Linked DNA regions of Lonchura striata. The protein of the gene in region 3 interacts with the protein of the main gene of each other region in a pairwise test. Links are inferred from orthologs where the notes say so. Each region holds a gene or a part of one and is shown on either strand. Other genes may lie near its edges. The genes, in order: FRK, BCL2 and BNIP2.

What was found.
Region 1: the proteins of BNIP2 (region 3) and FRK interact in binary tests that used the Homo sapiens proteins (3 or more experiments, as listed by UniProt). The two-hybrid records come from large-scale screens. The link is inferred for Lonchura striata from reciprocal best matches to the Homo sapiens genes BNIP2 and FRK.
Region 2: the proteins of BNIP2 (region 3) and BCL2 interact in a two-hybrid assay, tested with the Homo sapiens proteins (3 studies listed by BioGRID and IntAct). The link is inferred for Lonchura striata from reciprocal best matches to the Homo sapiens genes BNIP2 and BCL2.

The regions. Positions count from the first base shown.
Region 1 is NC_134605.1:66,374,633-66,378,381, reverse strand, and holds the start of FRK (tyrosine-protein kinase FRK), read right to left. Parts: upstream 2,531-3,749; 5' UTR 2,111-2,530; coding exon 1,680-2,110; intron 1-1,679. UniProt on the Homo sapiens protein: Non-receptor tyrosine-protein kinase that negatively regulates cell proliferation.
Region 2 is NC_134603.1:96,441,670-96,445,418, forward strand, and holds the start of BCL2 (apoptosis regulator Bcl-2), read left to right. Parts: upstream 1-870; 5' UTR 871-2,110; coding exon 2,111-2,689; intron 2,690-3,749. UniProt on the Homo sapiens protein: Suppresses apoptosis in a variety of cell systems including factor-dependent lymphohematopoietic and neural cells. Regulates cell death by controlling the mitochondrial membrane permeability. Appears to function in a feedback loop system with caspases.
Region 3 is NC_134613.1:9,134,196-9,137,944, reverse strand, and holds the start of BNIP2 (BCL2/adenovirus E1B 19 kDa protein-interacting protein 2), read right to left. Parts: upstream 2,420-3,749; 5' UTR 2,361-2,419; coding exon 2,311-2,360; intron 1,614-2,310; coding exon 1,546-1,613; intron 832-1,545; coding exon 658-831; intron 1-657.

The DNA.
Region 1 (3,749 bases), on a different chromosome or scaffold from region 3:
ATCTGAGAAAAGACAACATGTTTAAGCCACATTAATTTTGCTGCGAAATAAAAAGCTCATTTTGGAGAAATTGCTTCATCTGAGAATTGGAAAAACTCTCCATTGTTTCCTCTCCAGTGTTCTAACAATCCATAGAGAAAAATGTTTTCTTGTAACTTAGTCTAAAGGTATATTAAAAAAAAAAATATAGAATTGTTTAACAAGTAACAAGTAAAATAAACAGAGGTTACACAACAATGCAATTTGGCAAACTTAACTTTGTATTTGAAGCTCTAGATATAGAAAGATAAGGACATTAGGAGCTGAGATGTTGTATAACTCAGAAAAATTACTTTCAAAGTATTAACAGCATGAAGAAATCTGATGACTTCTAAGAAAACTAGCTCTTGAAAGAGAGCAAAGGCCAACCTGAGCTAAATTAGAGCCTAACACCATTTATCTAGTGATTCAGAAAATGCCTTCCCTGGAGATTAATTTCTCCAGTTGGAAGAATTTTTTTGAACATGACCATTGAAAATGTTGTCTGCCTGAATACAGAAACAGCTGGTAAAACTCTGGAAATTAAAGTCTTCAGGTTAGAGATTAATCTTAGAGTTGCCATAAAATGCCTCTAGCAAAAATCCTACAGCTGATAAAAGACTTGGCATAATCATATCTGATCCAATTTTCCCAGCCTGTGGCAGTCCAGTGGGCAGATCAGGTCAAAGATGATGTTTCAGGTTCAAATGACATTTAACTGAAAGGCTGCATCACCATCCCTCTAAAGTCAACATTCATTCTGAGACTAATAATGAATGTCGCTGATGGCATTTCTTTACACAGTGATAATTTTTTCCAAAATATACCTCTGGAACTGCAGTCAGACCTATTTCAGCAAACATTGACTCTGTCTTCAACACACAGAAGTAACTGTGCAGCCCAGGCTGATTCAGACCTTCCTCATCATTACTAGGGAGCCAAGTAACTGATTCTGTGTGATTTCTGATCTATTTCAGAATATTTAATAAGATCTGGCATGCTTTGAAGGGGCAAAAGATGGGATGGATAATTAAACTCTGTGAAATTTAATACCTTCATCTGTTCTCTGTTGTAATATCCACTTTTTCCCTTTGCAGTACTCGCTGTAGCTAATTTTGTCCTGAGAGCAGAGATTTGCCTCCAGAGAAGATGCACGTAGTCTAGAGGAAACACTTTGAAACTTATCTGTTAGGGACTCACCCATCTTATGGAAGAAGATAAAAAGGTGTAAAGGTAGCTTGCTTTAACTGATTAACTAGTAACTTTGCAGCTGGTTATTCAGGGCAGGGGTCATATATTTCTACTCTTTGGGTATTGTCTGATACACACTTACTCTTATACAAATAAAATTAATGAACCATCACAGCAGTAACCAACATGATCTTCCCAGATGATTTTTAAGCAACTGATTAGTGTATATCACCAAAGGAAATTATTTAAAACAATATAAAACCCCTCCACACTCTGCCTTTGGAAATTTATTTTCCTCTGACCATGGTGTCTTTTCCTTGCACATGCCAGCCAACACTACCACCTCTAGGACACCCGAGGCTGAGTGTGGCAGGGTAATACACAGCAAGAGAAAAGGCCGTGACCTCCTGTCTCAAACCCATTTAACACAGCAGAAAAGAGTCTCATTTCACACAGCATGGGTTACTCACGGCTCAGCTTCGATGCTCTGGTCAGCAGCTATGTAGTTGGCAGGGATGTAGCCTGTGAGCTTGCGGCCAGGACAGACTGACCCCTCTGGCAGGAGGAGCTTGGCGTACCACCATCCCTCATGGGATGCACTCAGCACTTCCAGCTTATCCCCAGCTCGGAAGCTCAAGTCATCCTCAGTGCGAGCATCATAGTCGAACAGTGCCACAAAGTTGCAAATGTTTGCTAGATCCTGGCCAGGCAGTGGAGGTAAAGGTTTCTCTTTTATCTTACTGTCTAAGTCCTTCTGTCCAGCTTGGAGGTCAGGTTTTATAACAGCAAGGTTGGCAAAGACCTGGCCTCCTTTGTCTTCCTCCTCACCATTTCTCCCAAAGAATAAGCAGGGAAGGTAACGCTTCAAACAGGGACAGTGCTTCCGGAAGAAGTTTCCCATCCTGATTCTTTGTTGCTCCCTCTGCTTCTGCTTTTCTTTTGCTTTTCCTGGTTGCAAGACCCTTAGACCAATTTTTGCACCATCCACATCTTAGCTTTTTGCAGACTTCTTCTCCCCCTTCTCCTTTGGCACAAAATGAAATAACTCTTGGCACAGCTGGAAGCTCCTCTCTGGGTCCCACGGAGAGCTCATTACAGATCGCTCCCAATTAGGGAGTGAAACCTAAGCATTCAAGTGCCAGCATACGTATGGAGGGAATTTTTCACTTCCTCTTCAGAAAAAGGAAAGCAACACAACAGCTGTGCTGGGCTGAGCTCTGAGAACAACAGAAAAGTGTGAGCCTCTTCTGTTACAGCAAAACAATAAAGCCAGAACATGTAAATAAGGGAGGCTTTCAACTCCTTCTGCTCAGGATGGGTGTTTTCTTATCTCAGATGTGGTCTGGTCATATGATCACTGGTGAATGTCTGAATTGGCAATGATTAACCAAACTGACCTGCCTACTCCTCAGTAGTCTGACGTGGACAGCTTGAATGAATATTTCTTTTTGTTTCCTGGTTTGTACTTGTTTCGGTTCGCAGTGGGAAGCCTTTGCTCGCCTGAGACTGTCAGATGCCCTCACCAGGAGTGCACCTGTGGCTCCTGCCCTCACTCACACCCAGGCACATTCCCTGCCAAGTACCTGCCCCTCTAAACAACCCTACGGATTTCTTTTTTTTTTTTTTCTTCAGCTGGGATAGGCACTTTTTACAAGGAAAATGAAATATATATGGCATCCAGTAATAAAGCAGTATATTTTAAGGCATTCCTTATTCTGCATTTTAAGGAAACAAAGGCACTAGCCAAAAAGCATTTTTCTTGGTGGCTGGCTGATTAAATCAACCCTATATTTAAAAAATGGCTGTTTTCCAGTCAGCTTGTAAACAATGACACTGCATTGACCAGTATATTCCTATTTCTAAAGTATCTCTAATCCAGCATACAGACCAAGCAAAGGTGTCTGGATACTCTGTGGCTGTGGCAAAGCTGGCTGAAGGGTTGGTCATCATATCACAGCAGTGCAGCCTAGGATTTGTCTCCTGGAAATCACCACGGCCTGGGGGACACTGAATGGTTGGAACAGGAGCAGGAAGAACAGAAGACACAGCAATAACCTGTCTGCACACAGTGGTGACATTTCAGTAAGACAAACTCTTACAGATCAGTCTATTTATTGAGATCAATGAAATCTCACACATGGACTTAAAACTTCCTGGTGATTAAAAAGCCTGAGTCCTATATTTTTCTTTTCTTTTCTTTTCTTTTCTTTTCTTTTCTTTTCTTTTCTTTTCTTTTCTTTTCTTTTCTTTTCTTTTCTTTTCTTTTCTTTTCTTTTCTCTCTTTCCTTTTCTCCTCATTTCTCTTCTTTTATTTTCTCTTCTTTTTTTTCTTTTTTTCCTTTTCCTTTTTTTTTTTTTGGTCAGGAAGCCAACTTCTGTGGTTTTATTTTACTAGAAAGAAAACAACTAAGTAAAAGAAAACAAAGTCGCTTTGCTTTCATCATGTCTCATTCATTTGAATAAGGAAGCCAGTGTCAGAGGCAAAAGGCTAATGATGAACTAGAAACTGTGGGATGTCTAAAAGGTATCTCCATTGAAAG
Region 2 (3,749 bases), on a different chromosome or scaffold from region 3:
CGCACAGCCAGGCCGGCGAGATCGGCAGCGCACGGGATCCGCGGCCGCGCAGCGGCTGCGGCCAGCGCACACCCTCGAGGCAAAATGCACGGAGCCCTGCACGCCTGCAGCGGGCCACTTTGCTTTTTAAAAAGGTGTATTCCGACTTCTTTATTTTCTTTTTTTTTTTTTTTTCTCCCTCCCCGTTTCATTTACTAAAAATAAAATTAAAAAAAAAAAATTAAATGAATCCGCGCGGGGCGGCAGAGGCGCGGAGCGGGACCGGCAGCCCCCGGCTCCGCCGCCGCTTCCTCCGCACGGGCGGTGGGGCGGCGCGGGCCGGCAGCACCGCCCGCGGCCCCGGAGCCCGCCGCTCCTCCGCTCCCGCGGCTCCGCCGCGCTCCGCGCCGCCCCCGCCGCCCCGCCGCCGGCCCCAGGCCCGCGCCGCGATGGAAGGCGGGCCCGGACTGCGGGGGGCTGCTCGCCTCCCCCCGCCGCCGCCTATTTTTTTTTTTTTCTTTTCTTTTTTTTTTTTTTTTTAAGCACCCTCCCCATTTCCCCCTTTTCTTGAATGAAGCGTGAGGCGGAGCTCTAGGAAACCACCGCGCCCGGCTACGCCGAGCGGAGCCGGAGCCTCCCCCTCGGGCTCCGCTCCTCCCCGCCTCTCCCCGCCCCCGCCGCTCCGCTGCGCTCCCCCCGCCGCCGCCACCGCCGCCGCCGGGAGAGCTCCCCGCCCGCGCCCGCCGCCGCTCGGAGCCGCCGCCGCCGTCCGGAGCCGCCGCTGCCGCCGCCGCCGCCGGCAGCAGCAGCAGCGCGGAGCGCCCGGAGGAGCCGCCCGCAGCCGGCGGGTGCGCGGGGCTGCGCGGGCGGGCGGGCGGGCGAGCAGCGGCGCCGCGGCCGCGGTCCCCATCGGCACCAGTCACACCGCACACACGCCCCGTCCGCGCCCCTGTTCGGCAGCGCCAGGGGCTCTTCCTCCGCCGATACAAAGCTGCTCGGGAAATGGCAGCAGTCAAAAGCAATTTTCCTTCTTTATTTTTATTTTCGTTTTTTAATTAATTTTTTTCCGCGCTTTCTTGTGAAAAAGAATTAATTTCCTAAATACATGCAATTTTTTTTTTTATTTTTAAATTTTTGGGTGTGTGCGTGCGTGTGTGTGGAAGCACCGCGTTCCTGCGATCGGTGTCTGAATGAAACTACGTAAATGCATATGTCTGTACGTTGCACTGGAGGGGAAAACAGAGCACTTCTGCGAGAGCTTGGATTCAAATGTGGTTCATCTGGTCTCCAGGATTTTCCGTCTCTTTGGGGTTGTTCGCCTTCCCGGTCTGCGAGGCGGGATTTTCTGAGCTTTGACACATCTTTGGAGATGTCTGTTAAACAGGAGTCTGGGAAAAAACATTTGAAATCGTAGAAATTTTTTTTTTGCCCCGTTCCTATCCCCTTGTTGACTTGAAGCATCAAAAGCAACCAGAACTTAACGCTTCTGAAGACTTGTGATGTTTGGATTTTATTGTTGCTATTTTTCTTTTAAAGGAAACTTGACAGAGGAACATATCTATAGTCCAAGTAAGTACTTTACAGAGGAAACTTAGTTTGTGTAACAAAAAAAACCCCAAATCCTAATGTTGAGGTTTCTGTCTTAAAGTGCATTGGATTAACGTCCATCCAAGGCTGCTTTAGCAAATTGTGTTGAATTGCAGTTTTTACAGTGTGTGTTCATCTGCTCCTTCGTGTCCATGGTAGTCCAGCACCTAGGGGAAAATGCACCTGATTTTGAATCGGTATAATATTTTTTAAGATGTATTTCAACACCGAGGAGGAAATGGTCCTAACGTAAATATATAATAAGTAATAAATGTGCACCTGGAAGTAAAGTATTTACAGCATTGTAATCCCTATTTATGCCGTGCATCTCAAACCAAGGAGGAAACACTGAGAAGACAAAAGTACCTCCGAGACCCCGAGAACTCCCCCACACCAGCATGAATGAAACTGTGTCCAATACAATAACTGGATTATAATTTTTGGTGTTATTAATTTTATTATTATTGGCTGCTTTACTTTTTTGGGTTCATCCTGCTCCTCTTCTTCCTCTCTCCCTTCCTCTTGCTGCTTCCTCGTGGGAATTATGGCTCATCCGGGGAGAAGAGGCTACGATAACCGGGAGATAGTGCTGAAGTACATCCACTATAAACTCTCTCAGAGGGGATATGACTGGGCTGCCGGTGAGGACAGGGTATCCCTGCCTCCAGATCACTCCGCTTCTGCTGCTGCTGCGATTGCTGCTGCTGGGACTTCTGATCACACTGGGCTGGTGTCTCCGCACCCCGAGCCCCCCGGCTCGGCTACTGCTAGCCACACGCCCCCGGCAGAGGGGCTGCGCCCTGCACCCCAGGTCGTCCACCTCGTCCTGCGCCAGGCGGGGGATGAGTTCTCCCGACGCTACCAGAGGGACTTTTCCCAAATGTCTGGCCAGCTGCACCTGACGCCCTTCACGGCCAGGAGCCGCTTCGTGGCGGTGGTGGAGGAGCTCTTCCGAGATGGGGTTAACTGGGGCAGAATTGTGGCCTTCTTCGAGTTTGGCGGTGTGATGTGTGTGGAGAGCGTCAACCGAGAGATGTTTCCCCTCGTGGACAACATTGCCACCTGGATGACTGAGTACCTGAACCGGCACCTGCACAACTGGATCCAGGACAACGGAGGCTGGGTGAGTCCCCTGACTGCTCGGTTCCTCTCCTGGCTCTGGCCCGTGGCTGGCTGGACCCCGGTTTGGGCAGTGCCCGGGGGATGGCACTTGTGGGAGCAAAAAGTTTGTCCAGGGGGTGTCTGCACTGGGATGTGCCAAAGCAGTGCTGGCCTTCTGCCAGTTGTCAAGTTTCACCTGGATGCAGGGTAGGGTGGAGTGGTTTGAGGTTGGGGGAACAGCTACAGCTTGTGAGCAACAAGGATGAGCAAGGCTGTGTCTTTATCAGCGGTCTCCACTTTCCTGTGGTCTCCACTTCTCCTGTCCGCCCACGCCTGTTGGCAGAACCGAGGCAGGTTCCTAGCCAAGGCAGGTCATGCAGTGGGGTGGGAGGGGGCAGCAGAGATGCCTATCCAGCTGCCAGGCAGAAGAGGCACATGGTGGGAGGTCCCAGGCAGTGTTGGGACAGCAGGGACCACCTGTGTGTGCATGCAGTATCCCCAGCCGTGAGAGGTGATGCACCAGACCAGTGTGCAACAAACATGAGATCCTGGCAAGCAGGTAGCCATCAGTGACAGTGTCTGCCGCTGTGGTCGTCACTGGAGTGGGGTTTTATGGGATAAGATATGTCTAGAGTGAAAAATCTTCATCTTGAGATGAAACAAAGGTGCTGGGAGCTGTGTCTGTGGGATTGTTCTAGAAAATGAGTGATGGGCAGCTGTGTTTCTGGGGTAGAGATCACCTCTGTCTGGGGCAGGCTTCAGCATCAACTAGAAAGGCAAGATTTCCATTTGTGGAAAATGGATAGCTTTTTCACTTGTAGTCAGTCAAAAGCTTTTCCTTTTTCTCTCTCCCCCTCTTTCCAGAAGTAACTGCATTGAATTAGAAGGATAACTGTTTCCTTTTTTCCTTTATTAGTATGATGTACTGGAACAAAATGTGGTCCCAGCCACTCTCCCACAAACCAAACCTGTTGTATGTGTAGAGCTTATGATATTACTGTTTTGGAGGGAGAAATGGCAAAAGTTATACTGAAGAAGAAACCTGGGTTGAAAGCTGGCATAACTCACCTAGAAATGGAGGT
Region 3 (3,749 bases):
TGTATTACAATAGCACTGTTTTGCCTGTAAGATATATCACCTATTAATGTCTTAAAACTTCAAGATATTAATAATAAAACTGAGATCATTACTAGCGTGGCTATGACTACTTTAAATTCCTATGAAGTCATTCCAGAATTCCTTGACATAAAATAGAGGCTCTTCTACTGCCTCTAGTTAGTATGCAAATATGCACACTCTAAGGCTACTGAGCTTTTGTCATTCTTACCAGAGAAGATTTAAGATCGGGTATTACTTAGTATTTTTAAAATACTAAGTTATTATTTAAATCCTCCTTAAATTGCAGTTCAGCAGTTTCTGAGTAGCTAATCTAAATCCCATTGTTTGGCTCCCTCAATTTAAAACTCATTTCTAAAACACGTAAAATACCAAGTCTTCTAGATGCATATGTACATGATCTTCACCCAAGTTTAGCTGTAGTTACAGCTAGTAACTGTTCGCCTGTTTACTAATCAGATGAGATCTGATTTGCTCTTTAAAAAGTCATTGCATGTATTTCTAATTCCTAATGTAATCACTCCCTTTGTATCTCTCCTCTTGTACTAGTGAATCATAGCTATTTCTTACTAGAGAAACAGTTGACCTGCACATAAGAAAATATTTTACAGTATCAGACAAAAGAACCAAAATACTCACCTTCCCATTCAAATTCATTGCTGTTTTCTGAAGGAGTATCTAAATTATCCAAATCAATCTCTCCACTCTCATCCAAGTCATCAGACAAAACAGATTCCCCACTGGGATCCAAAGTCAAGCTAATATCTGAAGCCATTAGTTTCTTCCTCAATTTGGTTCCATTGCCCTCTGTATCTAAAGAAAGCAAATTATTTCTTTTCAAAGCTAAAGCAAGGTGAGATAAGCATATTACCAAGACAGAAGAGCTCAGTCCTTTCTCATAATGCATTATAAATAATTGCCCATAATTTAAACTTTCTTTGGAGTAAGACTTTAATAGGGGATGGAAAGAACAGCAGCTAAAAGTTCTCAAGTTTTTGCACACACAGAGTCTGAGCAGGGTGGTAGACACTACCACCCCCTGCCTGCTTCATCCAAGTGTCCCAGGAGCTGCTCCATATATTACACTGAATAAATCTGGCAAGTAATACAACAGATTCATGTCTCTATCGCTTGCTTTTGTTAGGCTTCAGTGATGACATAACCATCTTTGATAAAATAGAAAATAATATACAAGCTAAAAAAAAAAAATACTTACAGACAACAGTGAGGACATAAAATTAAAGAATCTGTTCTGTGAATAGACAGAATGCTTAAAGGTACAAGGCAAATATTGGCATGATTTAGACAGGAGTTGAAAGCAAGGAATAAAATCAGATTACCAATCCAGCACTGGAAAGGCCACAAGTAAAGCAGACGGACAAAATAAAAAAAAAAATTAAATGTAAAAACCTCCAAAACTCCAACCAATGAAACAAAAAAAAACCCAACAAAACCCAAAACCCCCAAAACAAAACAAGCAAAAAAATCCCCCCAAACCAAGAAGCTTTAAAGCAGGCATTTACGTACCAGCTTCACTTTCTGTTCCAGCTGCAGCCGATGCCTCAGACTCAACAGGATCATCCTCTGGCAGGGGCCTGGGACACAAAGAAATTATTGTTAAAAACCTGCTCTGACCTCTTTTGTAATGTCATATATTAAGACTGACATATTGCTAGAAAAACCCACTGTAAAGTTAGTACTGAATTAACTTTACTTACAGCCTAAGTTCAAACTTTCAGTTAACAAACACCAAAGCAGCAGAAAATTCCTTTACAGCATTCAAGTGACCATCCCATCCTGTGACAAATACCAAAACACTGACTACAACCGGTGTGTCATCCTTAAGAAAACTTGTCATATTCTTGCTTGACAAAATTTGACTCAAAATAAATTACACAAATATCTTAGTCATGTTATCATAGAATGCATCTGAAGCTGATTTAACTTTTTGTAGTCCCAGGCTTCAGTAGCAACATTGACTTTTAAAGACTTTCCTCAGAAATTGTACTTAATGAAATATTTGGGCCTTCAGGCACTGGGAGTAATATGCAAACAATGTAGTTGCAAAATATTATCACAGGAAATAAATAAAGCCAAGTTTACAAATCTTCATTTCAGAAATATTGGTGGCAATCCTGAAGAAATATGCCATAAAACCTTTCCAAAACAAGTATATTAATGGAAATTACTTCAAGATTATTACTGAGTATTAGTTCACCAGGAAGACCAAGAGGTAGCTTATTGCTGATGTTATGTGTTTGATCCAAATTACTTTAAAAAATAATTCAAAACCTTGGGAAATCTTCATCTTGCCACTCTTCCTTAAACTCAACTCCTTCCATTCTCCAGCTCACTTAAATTGCTAGCAGAGACTCCTGATCAGGCAGAACCCCTTGGCTTCAGCACAATGGGCTAAAGAGGAGCTGCAGGAATATAACAGAAGGTGTTAGTTCAATACTGTGACAATTCCCATACTTGTAACACATCCTTTAACTTATCATCAAGTTGAGGTATGATGCAGAATAAAAAGAAAATAATACAAGGAAAAGTTTTTTGTTTGTTTGCATTTTACTTTTTTTTTCCCATACAAAACTCCTTGTGGAATGGTTTATCATGCAATAATTTAGGTTGGAAGGGATTTCATGCAGTCAAGGAGGATCAATCCCTCAGTTAAAATTAAGGCCTTGAGCAATTTGTTCTATCATTTATGATTACACCAGTTCACTCCAAAATGTAAGAAACCTGAATTGTCTGTAGATTCTATAGGCAATAATTAATAAGTGTATATTTTGAGAAAAAGTCCAGATGGTCAGATCTCAACTATAAGCCATTTAAAAAGAAAAAAAAAAAAAAACAACAAACCTCTGACAACACAAACACTTTAAAAATAACTATTTAAGACAGTGTTTTTGGAAAACTCACCCTATGATGTGCAAGTAAAGCTGTAGTTTTTCAGGCTCACCCATCACCAGCAACAAGGAATCCCCAATAATAGAACATGGCAAACCATTATGCTGACCTAAAAGTCCAAATCAGATGAAGCTCTTGGCTGTGTTGGCTCTAAAGATTGGCAGAAACAGGTAAACTTATCAATGAATGTATTAAGAAAACCAACACACATCAAAATAAGAAACCATGGTATTTTGCAAAGAACCAATCAACAAAGAACAGCAATAAGTACAAAGTTTGAATGCAACCAATACTGCTTACTAACCCAGATATATAATTTTTTTAACTGGCTGAAAACCAAATTACACTTACTGTTCTGTAGCACCAGCTTTCCTTTCATGACAAATCAATTTTTTTCTGCTCCTGACCTCATTTTAAAATGTCCTGCAATGCTTAAAGCTATACTATGCAAGTTGATTAGTAAAGAAAAATTAAGTTATCTTTTTGTAAAACTGCAGTACTACAAATTAAGCACTAATGATCTCAATTTAAGCCTGTTTTACTGACATTTCCCTGCCTCCTCATCCAGAAGATTTAAATAAATCTTGTGGAAGTTAGGAACCTAGTTCCTCTGAAAGGATGAACTCTCCTTGTTTGAAACATTCAGCACCTGCACCTCTCACTTGTCCTTCTTCAGCAGTGTGAAGCTGTTGCCCCAGCCACTGCCCTCCCAGCTCTCCCTGTTTGTCCTGACTAAAGCACTGCTTGGAAACAAGTCCTGCCTCTCACCAAGCCGATGATGTTCTCAGCATACAGGGTGTGGATACTCCTGGCCACCAACC